Drosophila melanogaster: one gene and its partners. Changing the gene in region 1 together with any one later gene gives a genetic interaction. Each region holds a gene or a part of one and is shown on either strand. Other genes may lie near its edges.

Region 1 (5,003 bases):
AAAACAGCAGCAATACCAACAACAAGCGGCAAACGGAAACCGACTGAACAACAACAATGGAGACCCAGAAGCCAAGACATACATGCACTGGAAAAAAATTTATATCAATATTTAATTTAAATTTGTGATATGTAACCACACATCGTAGTAAAAATCTACTCATAAATATTATCATATATGTAAATAATGAATTGATGGGAAATTTTATCTTAAAGCGAAGAAATTCGAAAGATATGTGCTTAGACAGCTTAAAATCGTTAGTAGTAGTAGCCTTTAACATATTCCAAGCTCCTCTACGGAAATTATAAATTATATGTTTGTTTATTATTATAGTATATAAGTGATTTTAAAAGTGCACTGCTTATTTATCTGAAAATTGTACTTTAATTTTTTGTTAAGTGTATCTAGCGATTGCAAGGGGGAGACCGAGAAAAAGAGCCTTTTTATGCGGCGCAACTTTGGCGCTTTTTATTAAACAAGCCGACGAAGTGTAGAAGCGAAGAATAGGATGAGGAGGTGGCGGTGGGGGAGAACTGGGGTTGATGGAGCCAAGAAGAGAGCGGATAAAAAGAGCAAAGCATAAAATGAACTTTGCCGGCTAAACCGGTAACACTTGTTTAACGCAAAAGAGAGTGCGGGAGAGCCAGTTATGTGCTGAAAGAGATATGTTAAGTAGAGAGCGACAGAGACAGAGAAAGCCTGATCGGAGAAAAGGGTTCTACAGGTGACAAAGACAAAAGACTGCCAAGACTCCTTTAATGTCATCATTATTGTCAATATAACAAGTTTATTGACTGGCAGCAGATGCCTAACCCCCCACACCTCCCTTGGCGATCCACCACGGGGTCATTAGACAAATTCCCGCGATAAGTTCTCTTCACTCATGCTAAAGCTCAGATTAAACGCAAGTTAATGACTTAATTAACTGCCGGAAAAAAGCGAGCAAGTAAACAAACAACAGCAAAAACTAAAGATAAAGATAAATGGTAAATGCAAGTGCGCAGAGAAATGGTCGACGATAAAAATTGTCGCAGAAATCAAGGAAATTAACGCGTGCAAATATGTATTTCTATAGAGGAAGAAAGCTGGAGAAAAGCAATTATTATAGGTATATTCCAGTAGAGGGCAAATGTCTTCTAACGGCACTTGCAACAGCTGAAGATTACCAAAGAACAGTGGGAAGTGTAACGGGCATCGATGGATTGATATAAAAAGATAAGAAGGTGCGGTGACCTAAGCAATATGACATTTTAGAAACTGAAAAATATTTAGCTGACATGCACTGTAACTTTTTGACATTCGGACATAAATGTTGTATACTCATTTCGTTTTCGGATATGTATCCCATTTCAGCAAGGATTTTTTGCTGGCAAAATGATTCTAGTCTTTTTATATTGGAGCCATTTTAAATGCAGCACTTATTTCTTTTATTCATTTTATAAGCATAAGATTGGTTATAATTTATTATATCGAAAAAATGGTTAATTAATTAATATTTAAATTGGAATCTATAAATATTTAAGTATTTACAAAGTGAATATCGATGTTCAAATTTCCATTGAGCGGGCCCAACACCTAGATTTGGGCACAGCTTCCGCCCCTAATTTCCTATTAGCCCTGTCGATTGCATAATCATCTTGAATTCTAATTAATTAAATGGTCTCTTATTTAGTTGTTTGTTGATGCTTTCTTTTTCCTGTCTGCTAATCAACAGGAGGCCAAGAAGTTGAGAGGAGACAGAGTGCGAGCGAGACAGCATCCAAACAAAAGGCATAACAGCCCTGTCTTTCACTTCGCTCTCTTTGGCTCTCTGGCTCTCCCGCCGAGAGTGTCAAATTCAAGGTCGCCCCCAGTGCTATACTACAAAGCGTATAGCTGAATAAAACCTCCTCTCACACCATTCGAGCGAAAGAGCGCATATTCAGCGTGTGAGCAGGAGAACGATACGGTGAGAGAGCGGCTTGGAAAGAGCCCCATGTTTTCAGTTCCTCAGTTTGTCAGCGTATGCCCTACCATGCGGATGTGCTCGCGGATTGATTTCGACTCGAACTCCGGCTCCGTTTTCGTCTTTTAACGTAAGTCCCGTGCGAAAAAGTTGAATTCGACTCCGTGTTTGTTCAGTTATTTTTTTGCGCGGTTTTCGAAAAAGTGAAAGAAATAAGGAAATTCAAAAAGCGGGGGAGGCATAAATGATATACAGCTAACGGTACTTATGTATGTGCATACAGCAAGATAAAAATGTGGCTGCTAGAAAAGTAAAGCCCGGTACTGTGCCAGATAAAAGCCAACGCTACTAAGTCCTAAAGACCCCCAAAAATTAAATTTTGACACAATAATATTTTGCCAACAACAAATAGCAAAGTCGAATTCAAACGGTTAAACCAAATTGAAGTCGGAAAATAACAAAAAAAGTCTAAACAAAATAAAGAGCAAAAGCAAACGCAAATAAGAGAATAGAGAGAAATATTTATTATTTGCTTATAAGGCCAAACTAAATATTTGCCGCCGGCAAATATTTAAAAGGTGTTAAGTGTTTCGTGGGAGTGAAGTTTTTAAACAGGGAAAATAAATCAAATAAGTATTCAATGGTGTATAAGTGAGTGCAAGTAGATGAGCAACATGTGTGTGTTTTAAAGTGTTTAAAGAGATCGAGAAAAAGCCCCAAAAGTTATTTGACAGCGATATCGAAAAATTCCAAAATGTGGCGTCAAATCCTGTTTATTTTACCCACCCTGATACAGGGGGTCCAGCGCTACGATCAGAGCCCCCTCGATGCGAGTCCGTATTATCGCAGCGGCGGGGGATTAATGGCCAGTTCTGGGACCGAACTAGATGGACTGCCACATCACAATCGCTGTGAACCCATCACCATATCGATCTGCAAGAATATACCATATAACATGACCATTATGCCAAATCTTATTGGCCATACCAAGCAGGAGGAGGCGGGTCTGGAGGTCCATCAGTTTGCTCCGCTCGTGAAGATCGGCTGCAGTGATGACCTCCAGTTGTTCCTCTGTTCCCTGTACGTTCCGGTCTGCACAATTTTGGAGCGACCCATTCCGCCTTGTCGATCTCTGTGCGAATCGGCGCGGGTATGTGAAAAGTTAATGAAAACCTACAACTTTAACTGGCCGGAAAATCTGGAGTGCTCCAAATTTCCCGTCCATGGAGGCGAGGATTTGTGCGTGGCGGAGAATACCACATCATCGGCCTCCACGGCGGCCACGCCCACAAGGAGTGTGGCTAAGGTCACTACCCGTAAACACCAGACGGGCGTAGAAAGTCCGCACCGAAACATTGGATTCGTGTGCCCCGTGCAACTGAAAACGCCTCTGGGAATGGGCTACGAACTAAAAGTTGGCGGAAAGGTAAGTTCTTTAATGAAAATAAATTCACTAAAAAGCGCCGAAAAATAAGCATCATATAAAAATAGGGGGTTATAGGCGCATACTGTATACCTTTTAAAACATTAGTTTTCTATTATTTATGCATTTAATTTTATGATTAAACATGTTATGATTATGACAAAAGTTAAAAACAAGTTCTATAATCATCCGTCGGGTGAGCACAAACTTTTAACCATGTCCAAACTAAAAACGAAGTTGCACAAATAAATTTTGGGTACTAACATCTGTTTAGCGAATGTATTTAGCGCTTTCTTGACTAAATGTATGCTTTAAGTACCCCAAGCCTTTTAGTGAGTATTTCGTTTATTTCTGGAACTTAATATGCCACATTTGGGTTGGTCCCATGTAGGTCAATGATTTTTTTATGTCTTCATTTGAACTCCAGACTCAATTTGTAGAGCAGCGTAGAAGTAGGGAAAAATGCAAATCCTGTTGCGCCGAGAAAACAATTTCCAACCACCAGGGAAAACAGCAGGAGGTCCTTGGCAGGCCAGGAATAACGAGAAGAAGGAGAGAAGGGCGACGAGCCCGCATTCTACCTGCCCGCAGCTCACAAAAGATGGTTAACAGCGGCAGGTAGATCGTTTTTTCTTTGGCTTCGGTTGAGGAAAGGTAAACCAGTTCTTTTTGGAGTTGTGTAATTTGTAATGCCTGCTTAAAAGTATTCCCAAAAAAAGTAAAAAAAAAATGTAACATGAACCATAGAATGTTTAATAACTTGAACTGAGGGTCAGCCTGTTGCATTTTCACGTTCTTTAATTAATTTTCCACCCTTTTCCTTTAGCAGCTTTTTTTCGGGTTCTTAAGCCCCTCAGCAGACTGATTTTTCCACGATTTATTTTCTGTTGGTTTTGGATGAGTGATGATCATCGTCTATGTGTTTCCAATGTGTTTATCTTTTGCTATTTTTAGCCGTCACTCTGTTGTTGCCGGCTGCCATAAGTAAAGCGCATTAAATACTTTGAGGCAGGATAATTCACACTTCCCTCAGTGTCTGGATATCTGGCGGATACATGTGTATCTCTTAGCTACTTTACCATTGCGATTTCTCGGTGTTTTTTCTTCTTTCGTCTCACTCGCTTTTTCTTGATTGGTCTCGTTTTTCCTTGGCTGTGTGTCATCAGTTCCTCTTGGCCTTGCTGCCTTCTTTCCATCCCCATATCATCATGGCTGTCAGCATCTTTGGTTTAGCCGGAGTCCCCAGACCCCGTGCTTAAATGCCTTTTGAGAGCTGCGTGCGAAATTTAGCAGCTTGTTTGCCTGGATTGCATTTGGCCCACATCACGATTCTGTCTGTAAGAGTATCTGCAAATGAATCCGTATCTGTATCTCTGTGTGTTTTGGCCCTGTTTGCCGTGCTTTATGAGCTAGATAGGTCTCTTTGTCTGCTAATGATAATGGCGCAGTGTGAGAGCGTGAATTAATGCTTATTGGATAGATAATGATCCGACAATATAAACATATAATTGCCATGTTAGAAACTAGTGGTATTAACAAGCGTTTTATAAGGGCTCCACAGGTACAGATAAGAAATTGGTCGAAATCAAAATTATAAACTTTATGATTAATAGACAAAGAACTATATTTTAACCC
Region 2 (4,987 bases), on another chromosome or scaffold:
GAAGCAAGGCAGCTCCACCATTTCACCAAAAAGGGAATGATTTAAATCTAAAGATTAACCTTACCAAGTCCGCATGACTAAATTTCAATGAACTATGCTGTCGCACATGAGCAGTGTGTATAGATATAAAATGTTTATTTCTGCAAGGCAAGCAACCACTTAGCACATGGATTGTTAATGAAACTATGCACCTTCTAAGGGCAGAATACCAAACTGATACTGATAGTTTAGCAATAGAAGGAAAGCCATTAACAATGTGAAGGCTCGGTAAAAGTATAAATTGGCTAGTTAATTACGCCAAATGTAGCTGTTGTCCACATTGTTCTTCGCACATGCATATTACTAATATGAGCAGCATCCTGATAAATCTACCACTTTTTTACATTGCCAAGAGGAGCTATTCTATTCCCCTGTTTACAGACCGCATAAAAAATGTTTCTAGCATTCGAAGAACGCATGTTTCGTAGACTTTTACAAATTGTGGTTGGTTTTATTTTCTCATCTCTCTCGTGCAAACAAAAAGCGCTTACAATAGAAGTCTAAAAATGCGTTTTTTAGAATTCGAAGGGGCGCCGTGTGATTACTTGGAAATAACAATGGGCCCGGTCTGCTTGGCGGCATCGCGCTGCTTGAACACGATCTGGTTAGCAATACGGTCCAGATCACGCTGTCCAATGGAGCTCAGTTTGCGACCACCGTCCGGGTGCTTCTCGACCAAACGGGCGTGCTCCAAGGCCTGCAGAGCCTTGCGGGCAGCACCGTCGGCGGCGCGGCAGAAGTGCGAGGGGTGGACACCGTTGCGCTTGCGTCCGCCGTAGATCTTGGTGATCGAACCGACTCCAGCGGGACTGCGGTGGTACAGATGGCGCAGGATCGAGGCGCAACGCACATAGAACCAGTCGGGATCGTAGGGCGCCAGCTCCTTGAATTTGGCGGTCTTGACGATGTCCATCTGGTCGGGCACCTTCAACTTGCCAGTCCTATTTGGTTTTTTTCGTGTTTTTTTTTTTTTTTTTGGGGGGGGATAAACAAATGGATTGTGAGGTTATGTGGTGGAAATATACTTGATGTTCAGTACTCACTTCTTCAAGAAGACGGCGACCGCCTTGGTAACCGCGTGCTGGTCAATATCCTTCACTGTGACGCCTGGCATCTGCGGGCAGAACGGGAAAAACAAATGGGGAATCTATTACAATGCTGCCAAAAACACGTTGTCGCGATTTCCACGATTCTCTCACAGACACACTCTTTCTCTCTCTCTCTCTCCCTCGCACACACACATGCACGGGCACAACAAAAAATTGCCAGCCGAAGTTTTAACCCGAAAAAAGCTGTCCTTTCGTGTTTACGGCCGGCCCATTGTGTCATTTGCCACTTGGCGTGGGCTCTTTCATTGAATTTCACCCATTCAAAACATAAAAAAAAAGATAATTCACTTGAAAAGAATTCGTGCACAACCTTTCTCGTTAAAGTCAACCGGAAAAAAGAACAAGGCGCGTGAAGTTGGCTGCGGTTAATAGTGCTGGGCCTGCCACCAGCAATAGTATCGATTAATCGAATGCCGGCGCGGCGAACTATCGAAGATTCGGTTAATGATACTCTAACACGTATGTGTTCAATTTATAGTTATTTTTAAAAATATTTAAATTAATGAGCACACCAAGATTATATTATATATTACTTGGCATTTGAAGACCTTGTCTAAACATGCATTTTCGTATTAGTATATTTTCAATGTGGGCAAAGAATGCGTAGTACAATTCATATTTTGCTGTATCACTTTATTCATAAATAACTGCTTTTTATTTTGTTAGCAACCGATTTACATAACTATTCATGAAGCTAGTTTCTGAGTCTATCGAATAACAAGCGGCCCATCGATGACGCAGACAACCGATATTGCCGCAGCACCATCGCCATTTGGAGCGCCACCTGTTGGCCCTGGTATATTCTGGTATTTTCATCGGCGCCTAGTGACTTCGATACTTCAACTTCGATATGTAAACACAATTGCCATCTCTACCAGCACCGAGCCGAAATAAAATAAGTGCAACGCGCAGCGTCTAATTGAAACCAAATTGATCTATTTGGCCGCGGCCGAAACTGGACATTCGCAATTTGGGCGGTCAGCCGCCCCCGTCCCGTCCCGCCCCCCCGTGCGTTTCCCCCGCTGCCGACGGACAGTACGTCGGTGTGACGCACATCGGTGTGTGCGCGCGTGTGTGTGTGTCTGTGAAGCGCCTTGTTATTGTTGTTGTAGCGCTTGCTACGTTCGCCGTTCGCAGTGCACTGGTGTGCGTGCGCTCGTGTAAGTGTGTGTGCACAGAGGTATCGTTGGAATTAACAAAAAAATAGAAGAAGGAAAAAGCTACTTGATTGGGGCACACAAAAACCAACAACTCAAAAGGCCGAGAAACAAAAGCCCACCTTCAACACCACCAATCCGCCGCATTCGACACATTTTGGCCAGGTTTTTGGCCACAAGTGTTGACACAACTGTTGCATGCCAAGCGGACTGCGGACAATAATCCCCGTTCCCTTGTTTACCCAACAATCCATCGTGGTCAACGTGATCATCCTGGTCATTACGATCCCATTTGCACAGGAAGTAAACTAGATTGATAGCATTTTCCGGGAATCGATAGCACACCTGCCTGCCGTGTGGGAAACGCACCTGGGAACGCCCGGGTGCTCGGCTGCGTCCGCATGTGGCGTTGGCGGCACTCCACCAAAAGAAGCCAGCGCCAAGTGCCCAATCCCCATACCCATACCCATTCCCATTCCCATCCCCATCCGTATTCGATTGGCGTTCAGTGGCAGCAGTTAGCCAGAAATCCAACGAAACACTCGTGACCTCATCGCCAGCAAACAGCAAACAACTAGCGCTTGACGCGTGCCTCCTCTCCTCATTACTATTAGCATTCCCAGCATAGACAGACGTCCAACAACTCCTGGCAGGTAAATGTACAATATAAATATGTGTACCCCGAAGAGAACTCTGTTAAACCCTTGCTTCGCTTTCAGTTGCAGCACAGGAGCAGCAGTTGACCAACAGGAAGCAGCAGCTGGAGCAGCAGTATCAGCTTGTTATCTTGCATTTGCATGCCAGCTGGACGAGAAACTGTGACCAAGCAGCGCAGCATGGATGTGGAACGAAGGCGCCGGTGAGTGCACGAGATGGCGGCCCAAAAGCGACTGCTCCACTCAATTAATTGTCACCTGAATGGCAGCATCAGCAGCAGCAGCAGCAGCAATAGCAATAGTAGAAGTCGAAGTAGAAGTAGAAGTGGCAGTAGCCATCGCACAGATACGTGCGATTTGTACAGACAGATTTGTGATTTGTTCAACTGACCAAGCCAAGCAGGCAGCTAAGCAGCTAACCAGCTAACCACCTAACCAGCCAACTAGCCAGCTAGCACAATTCAGCGCAAGCCAAACGGGCCTGGCCAAAACAAATCAAAAAGTAATACACCGCTGGCAAACACCTTCCATATCTCATGTTCAAAGCGACAGCGCGGCAATCAAATTGACAAGCGAGTGAACAAAACGGGGGGCGACTTTATAATAAATTTGCCATTTTCGCATTAAAATTTGTAACCAAACCAAAAAGAAAAAAAACCAAAACGAAAACGAAAAGCGAACTAAAACGAACGCACAGTGGCTGATGCCGCCGTTTGTCAGTTGCAGGCGTCGCGTTGCATCGGCTGCATCGTTTGCATCGTTTTGGGCCAAAAAGGTAGAATAGATAGCCAGCACCACGCCGGTTTCTTCCATTGGACAGTAGACGGTATAGGGCATGGGGACATGGCTAATGCCCGCCGCCCTCCATTCGTGCGAGCCGGAACGGTACGTTGTTCTCATCTCCACGCTCCTAGCATTCAGCATTCAGCATCCAGCTCTCAGCTACCAGTTGTCGTCCTGGTTCGCTTGCATTCCAAATTCCGAGAATACAATTTGCCCAGCAATTCCGCAGCGTCGAGTATGCATATAAATACTTAAATTTAATTACCCATCCCCACTCGGTATCTGCTGTAAGCAGTCATAAGCGAAGCAAACGTTAAGGCATTTGCGTACTAACAATGGCCAATTGCAATGCGCATTTGGTTATAAAAGCCGAACAGTTCCTTTGTGCTGCCTGGGCAAATAATTAATTAGAATTAATAAGGTGTGAAGAGATTCTGCAACGCAGATGCAGTACCACTCTCTATCTCTGTGTGTTGAATGTGAAGCGTTCAATTTGTAAAAACTGGCAGATCGAATTTGGCGACGTTGTATAAATTAAGTTGAAAATTATATTGTCTATAGGTGACGATAATGTTGTCGTCGTCGTCGTCATCGTCGTCGTTGGTTATTATGTATTATTATTGCCGTTGTTGTTGTCAATAATGTTGCTCATAATTATGTTGTTGTTGCCATTTTGCCGCTTTGGCCAAATCGAAATCAACAGCGGCAACGAAAATTCATCGCAGCATTTTTGAAAATTCCACTTTCCCAAGTTGTTTGCTTTTGTGTATGGTGTGTGTGTGTGCTGCTATTACCCGCTGCTTGAGCGTTTTGTTTTTGGCTTTTCTGTCATGCCGTAAGTGGCGATGATGAAATCACAACAATTCAAACACCTTTTAGTATCAATTTTTAGCGCCGACTGTCATCGCAGTTTGCCTGCTCCTGCATCTGAGTCTGACTTTTGCTTGCTGGGCACCGAAATTCGATTCCCAATCGCTGACAGACTGACTCCGCATCTCCGACATCTTGCATCTTGCTAATTGCACATAAATCTTGGTTACGGGAATTAGTTTTTGACCGGAAAATGCCTTTAAATTTAGAAATTCAGAACCAACGCACTGGCAGGCCAAATTTAATTGTTTCATTCTTTGCCGAATATGTAGTTTAATTTGCCGAGAAATTCCATTTGAAAGAGCGCTTTTCCCATGCTCTAGTAACCTCGTATGCAAATACCTAATTGTTATAATTAATTTTCTATATATTT
Region 3 (4,669 bases), on another chromosome or scaffold:
GGGCCCCATCCGATTCCAGCCCAGTAATAAAGGCCTTTGATTATGTTGCCCCGGGATCCCTTGGGAACGGGCAAACCTTGTTGTCTACCGCTTGTCTGGTCTTTCATAATTTACAGCCTCCCAAAAAAGCGGAATGGAAGCACCGACGCAGTTCTCTGTCCTTTGAAGATTTTGCAAGTTTAATTTATGTGGGTTTGTTTTTTCTTTTCTACTAGCAGTCTCAGCGCACATTAAAAATTCATTATCAGCATAAAGCTGGAAGGTTTCGGGAAGATGGGGTGGCTCAGCTTACCACGACAATTTTGTGGAAAACCAGGAACTACACGTGCAATTATTATCGCTGTCTGACCCAGTTGCTTCAAGGAGAAACGATGGCTTACCTGAATCGATAATTCCTGGCTGCACGTTAGTTTGTCATCCAATGAATCCTATTCGGAGTCCCTCACTTAGGATTCTGGAAACGAGAAACCATAGACAAAACGTGAGAGTTTTGCGGAACTAGTCGCGACTTCTTCTTATCCTTAACAAAGCACTCGCGACAACAACAATCGATTCTGTTCGTTTGCAGTTATTTCTTCCGCAAATGCAAATTGAATTCGCTATTGCGCTCTAATTTCGGCACATACACACGCATACGCACTCTCGCCACACATACACACGAACACAGAGAAACTGGTCAGCAGGCGAATGACGTCATTGCCAAGGATGCTGCGCGCATCTCAAGAACGCTGCCAGAAGTAGCACTTCATTTAAGGAACTGTGTTCTTGCTCTTAGTTGGAATCACTCAAGTCCGTTTCCCCAGAATTAAAAGTTCGCAAGGAGCCCGCCAGATATTTTATTAAAGTCAATTTAATTGCGACTGGCGCCAAGCACTCACATCTGGCTGTGATACTCGGAACTGGACTTACTGATTCAAGCGCGGACCTTCACCGTTCCTCGAAAAATTCAAAATTAACTGAAAGTATCCGCACATCCGCGCATTAACCCAACGGTTTATTGAAGTTTGGTTTTACCAAGAACTGATTCGAAGAGAGGACAGCACGCGAGACCCCGCAAAACACCAAAAACAAAAAGGCGGTAAGGTATTTTGATGTTGTCGTGCGGTCCAACTAAATGAACTACGTATATGTCAAAAGTAAAATCGACATATACGATACTTAGCTTGCACTAATTTGACCAATATTATAAATTGAAAAGTGAGTTGGAAACATCCTTTGCTACATCTGAATATGCAAGTGAGTGAAATCGGCAAAATAATTTAATCTCATTTCTATTCCGGAAGTATTCGATTCCAATCGACACCGCTTGGCTTGAAGCCGCGAATATTTCGATCTTAAGTGCAGTCATGAACCAGAGGAAGCTGATGCGATACTTTGCTAAAAACTTAGATATTCTGTTATAGAGGAATACAATGGCCGACCTGAAAAAATGTTACAGGTGTGTGCTTTAAACAAAATCTAGATGCGATCCATATGTAGAATTTTAATCAGTGTTGACATATCGATGTATGTGTTTTCAGAAAGCGCTGCCGCGGCCGTCGTGTGAACTACGACATATCGATGCATCGATATGTCCGAATGGAATCGGAAGGCATCGATTACCATCGAACTCGAAAAGTACTCGGTCGGCAAAACGGCAAGCGGCGAAAAACAGTGAAAAAAAAAGGGGGAAAGCGAAAAGACGTGCTCAGGAACTGCGGTCGAAGTCTTTGTGAGTGTGTGTGGGTGCAGCTGTCGCCAAACAAATGAAAAGCGCCTGGCTTGCATTAAAATCGGTAAAAAAAAAATCGGAAATGTGCACAGGCATCCAGCGAATGCAGCGACCTATTCGCCGGCGTCGGGACGCCGCCAGCTGAAACTGCACGGTCGAATTTGGCTGCATTTGCACAAACGCTGTGCTGACGCGGGGAAATGGGAGCATAAAAACCGAAACTTGTGTGCGAAATATGCGAATATGCGAAACCTTGGCTCCCAGTGCGATCTATGTGTGTGTGTGTGTGAGCCGTGCTGTGTGTCGGTGTTGCAGAACGAACCAAGTGGGAAGCAAAGCGAGAGAAGACGAAGAGGAAGAAAAAGAGCCGCTTGTACCTGCTCCGAAAACTGAAACATCCGAAATCGGAGGTGAAAAGGTGCTCTGATAGTGTTTAGCTGCAGTTTTAGGAGATGCAAACTGGTTAATTGCTACGTAACGCTATTTTTCCGCTAAATTACTTCACCACCCCTTCTTCTACGTTCAGCGGTGACTTTGGCTTAAGAAAATGAAAATGTGTGGCCATATTTTTTCCTCTCCGTCTTTCTTTCGCCTTCGCGCTCTCCCTTTTGAAACTCTCGCCGCGCGCTGTTCTCGCCGCCTCCGTTTTGTGCCGCACTTCCGAGATAAAGAACGCAAACGCGAGATAAATGCGAAATATTGTATCTGAGGAGCGAGGCAACATACTCATTGTTCTCATCGATTTGTTTTGTCCGACAGAAAAGTGCATTGCATCCGAAAAGCGAATATCCAGTATCCAATATCCATTATCCGAAAGCAGCTAATTACCGACAGACAAGGAATTATTTAGAGATCGCCGCCAAAATGTCGGAGGAAGTAGATCGCAACGATCCGGAGCTCAAGTACCTCTCGGTGGAGCGCAACCAGTTCAACGATCCGGCCACGCAGGCCGAGTGGACACAGAAGCGTCTGGTGTGGGTGCCACACGAGAACCAGGTGAGTCTACTTAAATGTAATGCCTACCCGTAGAGCATGTTCCTACTCTGGACGCAACCTCTGCTACGGGATTTCTACCCCGGAAGCCACGCCCGTTTCAGTGAACTACCTGAATAGACCCTATAGATAGCCTAAATGCAACAGGAACTGCTACAACTGAGATAAAAATACAGTCGATACATCATAACGCTGTTTATTTCGTGAAGTCGGTAGTCATTAGCCCATTATGGTTTTTTTTTTTTTTTTTGTAAAATTACCAAATGTACTTAATTTTCGTTTAATTTTCATATTCTTTTGCGTAAAAAATTGCTACATGTAACTATCTAATATCTAAGTATTACTTCGCAGTGAATGGTTATTATAGAACATAGTGTGTTCGACACATCGTGATAATATTTTAGCCCTAGCTGTACGTGCTCTAATCAATTTTCACAGTGTTTGTCCCCGGCTTTGCGCTTCTTATCAGCCAACACCTTTTGAGCCATCCGACTCACTCATCGATTGGTCATGAATCACGCTTCACCGATCCGTTTATTTTTAATTTTGAACAGGCCCAACTTCTTTGAATTTTCATTACATTCGCACCGCGGTGATAAACTTGGGTAAACATCCGTTGGCGTCGATGCTGAATCACTCTTTTCTCCTGCGCTGATGCTGAATTAATCTCACCGTAGTAGTGTGACACATTTAACTTCTTACTTGGTCAAATCCGCGACCATTTGGTACCAATTTGCATGCAGACGCTCTTCGACTCAGTGACTCACCTCCGAGGGAGAGTGGAAGCAGGAATGGCCCCAGTTCGCAGTTCCCACTAAGAGCGGGCCAAAACAAGTTTTCAATGTGGCTAGGTATTTGTGGTGTGGACTTGCTTGTGTGGGGCTTTCTGGCCTCAACCACACAGCCAGGCCAGCAAAGAAACGAGCCGAGATTGCGCCAAAGAATCGCTTCCCTCGGAGTTCGGGCGCCCGCTCTTGGCCTATAAATTCAAATTCAAAACTTTGGTCGACTGCTAGCGATCAAGCCTTATGATAACAAGCCGATTGTTTTGCTAATTTCGGTGTGGCTTGTTATTCTCTTCTTCAGTTTAAAGCGATTTCATTCAGGTGTCATTCAACTGCATTCCAACGACTTAATTTCAAGACCATAAAAAACGTAAACAGATAAAATTATCAACCGCTCCTTTCTCCCCTGGCTGCCCGTAATTGCTGTATTTGCCAGAGATAATTCCGTACATAGAATGGTAGCACTTTTGGGTGACTTCGTATAATAAAAGCAACATCGAAAACAAAAGCCAACAACTTCACATTTTTGTGTAATTACGCGATCACTTTAACAGACATTTACTTTACAATGGAATCTCACAAAAAGACAACGGCAGAGATAAAACCCAGAAATAAAACGAAAATAACGAAACGCTCGATTGTCATGAGTGGTCCGTCAGATTGTCTAAAGGCTAAAATTTCTTTGCGACTGACGAACGGCACATGAGACGGGTGGAAATAGTTAAGAAATTTGCATATAGCGCAACTGTTGCTCCGCTGGAATGTCCACAGATACAGCTACGTCTTAACGGGAACGGACCCGTCCAAAAGGGTATTCGCCAATTGTGTCAACACTCGTTTCGTTTCCAGCAACTGTTCCAGCTTTTCGAAATGTAAGCGAATTCGCTGAATAATGGCGGCGTCAGTCCACGTACGTGATATCCAAATTCAGTAATTTACTGGTGGATACACAAGGAGACCTTTTGTTCGTGGCTACATTTCGTTTCATGTTGTTTGCTGAACAGCGATGATTCATCGAATCAATTGCACAGAGAGCAAGTTTATTGGTGGGGATTAGATATATTGTACATTGAAGGTTTCGGGTTATAGGTTAATGTATATTTGCGATCTTGAAACTATTTAAATGCTTTTAATAGTTCATAGCTTACTTTTCCATTGTCCAACGATGAAATTGAAAAGT
Region 4 (7,759 bases), 1.6 Mb from region 1:
CTTGTATTCAATCGATTCCTAATGAGCTTGAACATTATTGAATATTTGTATTGCCCAATCCTAATGAGTCGAATGGAAATTATTGGGTGGCTAAGCAAAGCAGTTGGAACCAAGGTAAATATACACCAAGTTCATTCGAAGATCGATCGGATTGAGTGTAATGCATTTCGAAGAAATATTGTGTCTCGCAATTTGTATGGATTTTGACTTATGAAGACCTCTATTTTCATTGACATTATAATCTTAACTCATAACTAAGTAATTCAATTATAAATATTATGCAGTTCTTTCATTTGCCAAAGGGTAACATATATATCATTTATAATTACATTAAACCAAAGAAAAAACCGATCAAAATAATACATCTATATGAAAGTATAATCTCCAATAAAAGGATTACTTATCGAACTATTTCCACAAGCGTGGCTTTTACTTTCTCATTCATAGAGATACAAAAGCCAGTCGCTAGAACCATTAGCACTACTTCTTAGATAGCATTGGGCTAACCCCTCCCAAATTTGATTCCATATATTTTTACTCCCAGCCTAAGTTTTTTGATCCTGACCGAAAAAAGTCTGTTAGCAACAAATGTACAACGAAAGGAATACAGAAAAAAAAATTGAATCGAAAAGCAAATGCTACCCATTAACAATAAAATACACAGCGAAAAAACAGTGGGGGTGGCAAATAGGCTGGTCGAAGAGTGGGCGAAATGGATTGGGGGGGATAAAAACAAGGCAGAAATTCGTTTTTTATGTACCGCGAGTTTTTTATAGTTTGTTGTTGCTGCTGTTGTTGGTGGCACGTTATCAACAATCTCGTTTTACCAAATAACGCAAAGTGCGCGTCATGGCATTGGTGCACTGCAAAAAACATTGCTTTATTGTAATTAGCATAACCCATTCATAAAATCTATATCTATTTGAAATAATATATGTAAATAAGGGGTTTTTTTATGGTGTGTATTAAAAATATTGTCATATTTAAGCGAATGTAAATTTAAATTTAAATTATCAGAATACTAAGATGCGCATTTAATATTAAAATAAAAGTATCTGAAAGAATGCAATAGACTAAAAGCGGATTAATCACTAAAGAAAGGAAAGTTAACTTGAAGTATTTCGATAAAAACTTTTTAACAGTTCCCACAAAAAAATATATTACTGAAAATCATAGTAGGTAGGAAGTAGGAGCAGTGTTAAGATCACAATGACAGCAAATATTTTTCCCAGTGCATTTCTGGCTGGTGCTGATGGTGGTTCCTAGTGTTTCCTGGTGTTTCCTGGTGTTGGTGGTGCTGTTGGCGGGCAGCACACGCTACAGTTCGCTTATGGAACGGCTCAAACTGCATTAAAGAGCGAAGGGAGTGGTCGTGGTAGTAGTTGGTAGTGGTAGTGGTAGATGGTAATGACAGTGGTATTGGTATTGGTCCTGGCCGAAAGAGAGTAGTTCTAGAAGGCTAGGGCTAGTGGAAATTGGTAGGAACACTCCGACGTATATAGCGTATTATATTTTTTTACTCAGTTTCGGTGGTGGCTGGTGGTTGGCCAAAAGACGGTGGCAGGATGACGATGATGATGACGACAGCAGGGGCAGGGAACCTACCCTCGGATCGGGCGCTCTCTCTTTCTTTCCTGCCCCTTCCCTTCCCGCAACGCCAGGTGTGTCGGTGTGTCGGTGTGCGTTCCTGCGAGCTGCTCGCACCGTTTTTGCTTTAAAGTTTTGTGTGGTAGCAAATAAAATTTTAGTTAGTCACTTGCCGTCGTCAAGGATACGCCGTTCAGTTATTTGTTGTGCAACGTTGTTCCTGGCAACCACGAGTCCTCGGGCAGCAAGGACCTGTGCCGCTTCGGAACGAAAGGCTTTCAGTGCCAGGCTCGAATCGAGTGCTAGCGACAGGGACAGCAACATTAGCACCTGTCTAGATCTAGAAACCTTTTTATATACTCGTTTATTATCCGGCCGGTAGGCGGCAGCGCTGCCAACTGCGCAGTCAACGTCGACGTCGCTGCCTAGCTCACCTTACATAGCCGCAAATTCAAATTTGAACTTCAGTCAAGTGTCAAAGCTCAAAGGATTAGCATGTCCTTGCAGCTGCAGCTGCAGTGTGAACCAGTGAAGACCACTGAAAAATACAATCTTCAGAACCAAATTACTCACTAGCTTGCCAAAAAGTGAAGAAACACGGCCAAAAGCCGAAAAGGATCAACCTGAAAAGTGCTGACAACTGCCAGATTTGGAGAAACTATCTAAAGGTAAGCGATCTCAGGTGATCCAGCGATCCAGAGCTGTAGCTCTTCAATTTGCTGACTTTGAGTCTTGGCACTGGGAGAATTCACAGTTGACTTTATTATTCTGTGGTTCTGCGGGTGCCAAAACTTAAAAACCGGCTTTGTACAACGATTTCTAAGCCATTACAATTTGAACAAAATAAAATAAGTAGAGCGTTCTTAGGTTTATAAGGAGTATATGGATATAGATCAGTATATATCAGTATCAGATCAGTATATCTATATGTATATAGATCAGTTGTTCGAATTAACGAAAAACGTTGTAGGAAAGTAAAGCCCCAAAAAAGATCTAAAAAATGTATTAATAAAATAATAATAATATATAATAATATATAATATATATATATATATATATATATATATATTATATAATATAATACAATAATATATAATAATAATATATATATAATATATAATATATACCCCATTTAACTTGTTTTTTTTTCATTTAAGACTTCTAGGCCAATCTTAACGATTGAAAGAGTTTTCATTAAGCTTTAGAAACAACCTAAAACCCCTATATATACTATTCTTCCTATGTCCAGTAACAGATCGACTGAAATAAAAGTCAAATCTGTTTACATATTTAATTGAAAAGTAGTTTCCCTAAGCCAAAAATAATTTTTTCTTATCCAAGTTTGGACAATACATTATCAAATCACAGCCATAGCTATATTACTCATACGCCACCGGTACCAACCCCATTGAACTGCCAACGTCACGACAGCGTTGGTTCCTCTACTTTCATTTTAGAATCCAATGCGCAGTACCAAAACAAAATTAATTTCCATCCAACACGCAACGAAAAAATCGAGTAGGATTTCAGGGGAGCAATTAATTTGGGCCGGGCTAAAATTGTTAAAGACTTAAAAATACATAAAAAAAAAACAATGCCCAGAGTGAGACACAATCGCTGGCTAAACTTTAGAGACATTGAACTTTCGGGGGTCAAAAGTATTTCTCAACTTGGCCAACTGCCCTCTCATAAATGTATTATGAGGGGAGGCAGTCAAGCCCCCTCTCAAAACAATTAAGTGCAATGCAAAGGGCGTGTCAGAGTTCAGTAATTGACCTCACCAATGGAAATTTACATTTGAACTTATCTTGATTGGAAATTACATTTTTAAATGTACACTGTACATGTCCAGATGTCCAGCGTAATCAAAGGCAGCCCCCGTTCAAGGATATCTAGTGGCAGGACTATTGGCCCAGGTGGAAATCCTTTTGCAAATTGCTTCACTCATAACTCATTTCTCTAATAGAAACGGGGGCGTGGCCCATCGCTAACGGCACCTGTCCAGAGAGCAAATAAATATTTGATGAGGGAATTCTGAAAACTTCTGTAAATTCCGATTCAATTGTAGTTTTGAGCACAAATAAGCTCCTTGGGGAGCTTACCTTAGTTGTAGTTCTTTAAATAATTTTTGAAATTAAATTAATTGGTGAGCAGTTAAAATGAATTTCGGAACTTTTAATCTCGATATCATAAAAGATCTAAATACTCATTGTAATTGAATTAGTTGGAATGGAATTTGGGAACATTCATTCTAAAATTAAACAGGATAACATGATCGTATATATTTAATTTATATTTTAACCTTTTGCATTGCAAGGACTATTCTATCTCCCGTAAAAACAAAGCAATTTCAGCACTTATATTTTAGAAAATTGCTAGCCAAAAATATTTCAGCACCCTAACCGCCGTCAATCTATATAATTTGAGTTCCTTCGCTGCATTTTCCGGCGGCATAAATTAGCATTAATTCATAAGTCAGTAGTCAGGCCACCAATTGCAATCCAAAAAAAAAAAAAAAGAAAATGAAGCAGAAAGGAAAATGTTTTTCGGCTGGAAAAGCGAATTTGCATACAAACTGCAATGTTCGTACAACGCCCCCCGAACAACAAATTATGTGTGGGGGGCCCACAGGGGCCGTGAAATGGTGAATAGGGTCCTAGTAGGCCTCGTAGGATTCCGATGGCTTCACTTGGGTTTGTGGCAGTGGCGAATGGTGGATTGAATGGGGGGGGAATGGTGCGACAGCCTAAACGCCGGCAATGTTCCTGAATAATGGGCCACCGGCGCCAACTGACGTTGGTAGGCAATTTTCTAGGAATCTAGATGGGTTTGCGTCGTGTGTCTATGGTGAGGTGCAACTCTATACATATACATATGTATGTGTACTATATGTACCATATAGGTGCACATGTTGTGCGGCAAAGGGCTACTGCATAATTTATTTAATCGCGGGCAACAAATCTAAATTGATCGTTAGGCGTAGGCGAACGAACAGCCAGCTGAACCAACAAAATGTCTAACAAGGATATTGCATGTTCTCTATATGTATTAAACTATTTTTTCCACCGCTTTTCCATTGCAGTGCCAATTAGCCAGAGAGGTTTTTCAAAAGGCGGTCAAAGGAATATGGCGCCCCAACAACAGAACTCCACATTCATCGATGATAATCTGGACAGCTGTCCATCGCTATTGAATCTACCCGAAAGTCCCATTCTTCCGCCGCGACGATGTCAAAATCAAGACACCAACAATAATAATAATAATAATAAGCAGGCTGCATTCGAGGAGCGTTTGGTGGATGAATCGCCATCGGTGGGGGAGCCACCATTAGCACCACCCATACCTCTGGCCATACCCATGGCACCAGCACCACCACATCGGCAAGCATGCAAAAATAAACACGGCAGGGAAAACGGAAACGCTGGCCAGGCCAGTCGTCGCCACCGTTCCATTTCCCTCTATGGCGTTAATAGCACTGTGGTAAGTGCCTCCTCCTCCTGCTCCTGGTCCTCCGGCTCCTTTGGCCACTCACCACCCCACTCCAGTCCCCGCCCCTGATTTTCGGTTGCGCCAGCATTTCCACTGAAATAAAACAAATCATCTAATTGGGTGGGCAGTCACTGGCGGTAGTCATATGCTTATGTGGATAGGGTTATACTTACATATAAGCGTGTGTGAAACTTCGATAGTGCGTCTGTTACTCAAGAAATTGATTGCAACCTTGCGTTTTCGTAAGAATCGAAAGGAGACTTAACTTAATTCTTTAGATATTATCTAATGGTTCTGGTAATGGGCTTAGAACTCAAAAGGGAGTCGTTTATTGAACAGGATAACATTTAATGGACTTGCTTATAAATAAATAAGATAAAAATGAGATTTAACTCAATATTACCATTTAATTATATTGGCTTAGTAGGAAAATATATAGAGCTTCCACCAAAATATAATCAAATCTAAATAATTCCTTGAGCACTTTCATATCTATCCAATATAGAAAGTTAGTACAGGTAGATTTCAATACAGTTGATTGACTATTATTATGAGTATTATTCTTTAGGAGTTTACCTTAAATTTATATTACCTTACTATAAAGAAATTCTTTGAAAATTTCCCTTGCTTCTAAAACCCATACCCCATCTTACAACTCATTCCTAAAAACCTGGCAATCCTCTTAATCGATCTACATACTCCTCTGTTCTTCTGGCAACCCTTCAGGAGCAAGGCCACAAGGAAATACCCATCTGGATGGACGACGGAGAGGCTCGTTACGTATCCGGAGTGACGAACAAGACGACGTGCGATGACATAATCAAGGCGCTGATTGATGACGAACTGCGAAACGGCAATGGATTCTACTGCGGCAATAATCCGAAAGGTAGGTTAATAATAATAATTCCCAGGCGATCCTGTCGTGACTGCTACTTTTTTTTTTATACATCACAATTTGGCTTTTTATTTATTTATGCTCCTTATTTACAATTTCTTTTATTTTCTCTCATTTTGCGTTTCGTTCCGTTTCATTCAATTTTCCCGTTTTCCGCACGTTGGAAAAACAAGATGGCGGCCAGAGGAAAACGGCAGCAGCATCGCGTGACTACAGCGATTACATTATAACGGAAAGTTGGGGCGGAATAGAGCGGTGCTATGATGGCAACATGGCCATTTTGCCCGTTTGGCGCGCTTGGAGCCGTGTACACAATGAGGTAATGGCAACGGTCGGTGGACCAGGGGAATCCCACCTGGCGTGCAGAAAGAAAAGGAACAAAATAAAACAGAAACACCAGCGAACGGGGCCCGAAAGCACAAAAAAAAAAACCAAAAGTCTACAGTGATTGCATAATAAGCGCTTTTTTCCTGGCGCCACACGCAAGCCAAGAAATTCATGTCGTTCTCGAAAACCCATTCCATACGTTCTCTATATCCCCCTTTCAAAGTCACACCCGCGCCTATTATATATGTACATATGTATATATATATGTACATATATAGTACCACTCGCATTTGACTTATGCTTTGGCTTTTCGTATTTATTTGTTTATGACGCACAGAGTGAAATCAATTTGCTTATTGATTTTTATATCAAAGTTCATGTTTTCGTTTTGGTCTAATTATGTTGTAAATGTTTTATGACCCCAACCATTAGCAATGGGAATAATGTTATTCGAGGAAAAGGAACTCCTAATTGTTATTTGATGATCTTATCCAGTTAATGGATGGAAAGGGTTAAAAACAAGCGCCAAGGTAGTTTTATTGTTAGAGATGTATTAATGACAATATAATCATAAAGTGGGATATTTAGTTTTACCTTGTTTTGTATAAATAAAAAAATAGTCAATTTGTGGCGTAAATAAGAACAATATACAGTGAGGAGTAAAACATGGTCAAGAAGTCATAAACTTTTAAGTTTTTAACGAACTTCAATTCATTAATAAATAATTATTTCTCCTGTTTTTTTACAGCTCCGCATCTCCTTAAAACATCGTGATAGTTTCAGAGATCCCCTTGCCATGCAATTAGTGCCCCATTCACAATCAGCCACGGGATTTTCGATGTACAAGTGGCTCAAGAAGCTATTGCATCTGAAAAAGGGTAAAAAGACGCCACCAAAACCCACAAAAACGCCTCCAAAAGTGCCGAACAAATTAAAGGAGAAGAGAGTGCACGGCCAAAAGCAAACGATGACCAATGACTTGGTGCTGGTTATAATGCCAGACCAACTGTATAGGGGTACCGAAAACACTGCCAAATCCAAACTTTATAAACTGGCCGAGAATCGCGTCAGCAAGCAGCGTCATCGAAGAAGAAGTCGTCACGAGATAACCAAAGCCTCGGTTGAAACATTTAGAACAGCGATTCCCAGCGAATGCAATAACAACAACTACAATGTTAATAACTGCATAAGGAGGCGAAAGGATAAGCCCTTGCGAAATAGTGTACGATATAAGTTGGCATCTCTTCATGCCGATATGAATGTTCGCTATGAAAAGGAACACGCTCTAACACGTCAGCTATCGGAAATGTGCCGACTGTACCGATTGCAGAACGAACGGTACAAGGGACCGGAAATGGAGCTATCGGTCGGGCAGTTGCAACAAAATATCGAAGCCTATGCCGAGGACATTATTAAAACTGAACACGAACTTCTCGAATTGAAAAATGAAATTAAACATGA

Evidence for each region.
Region 2: of fz (region 1) and Rok, changing one suppresses a phenotype caused by changing the other (phenotypic suppression), as found in Drosophila melanogaster (one study listed by BioGRID).
Region 3: of fz (region 1) and zip, changing one enhances a phenotype caused by changing the other (phenotypic enhancement), as found in Drosophila melanogaster (2 studies listed by BioGRID).
Region 4: of fz (region 1) and meru, changing one enhances a phenotype caused by changing the other (phenotypic enhancement), as found in Drosophila melanogaster (one study listed by BioGRID).

Annotation. Positions count from the first base shown.
Region 1 is NT_037436.4:14,272,356-14,277,358, forward strand, and holds the start of fz (frizzled), read left to right. Parts: upstream 1-1,987; 5' UTR 1,988-2,699; coding exon 2,700-3,371; intron 3,372-5,003. UniProt on the Drosophila melanogaster protein: Receptor for Wnt proteins.
Region 2 is NC_004354.4:16,634,399-16,639,385, reverse strand, and holds the start of Rok (Rho kinase), read left to right. Parts: upstream 1-1,971; 5' UTR 1,972-2,958; intron 2,959-3,024; 5' UTR 3,025-3,102; coding exon 3,103-3,164; intron 3,165-3,718; exon of another isoform or gene 3,719-3,811; coding exon of another isoform or gene 3,812-3,846; intron 3,847-4,987. Other genes in the region: RpS19a (ribosomal protein S19a), read right to left, coding at 581-980, 1,083-1,153.
Region 3 is NT_033778.4:25,008,418-25,013,086, reverse strand, and holds the start of zip (zipper), read left to right. Parts: upstream 1-1,623; 5' UTR 1,624-1,745; coding exon 1,746-1,775; intron 1,776-1,878; exon of another isoform or gene 1,879-1,987; intron 1,988-2,470; coding exon 2,471-2,707; intron 2,708-4,669. UniProt on the Drosophila melanogaster protein: Nonmuscle myosin appears to be responsible for cellularization. Required for morphogenesis and cytokinesis. Necessary for auditory transduction: plays a role in Johnston's organ organization by acting in scolopidial apical attachment.
Region 4 is NT_037436.4:15,838,040-15,845,798, reverse strand, and holds the start of meru (meru), read left to right. Parts: upstream 1-1,736; 5' UTR 1,737-2,255; intron 2,256-2,303; exon of another isoform or gene 2,304-2,393; intron 2,394-4,669; 5' UTR 4,670-4,713; coding exon 4,714-5,067; intron 5,068-5,802; coding exon 5,803-5,962; intron 5,963-6,144; coding exon 6,145-6,290; intron 6,291-7,046; coding exon 7,047-7,759.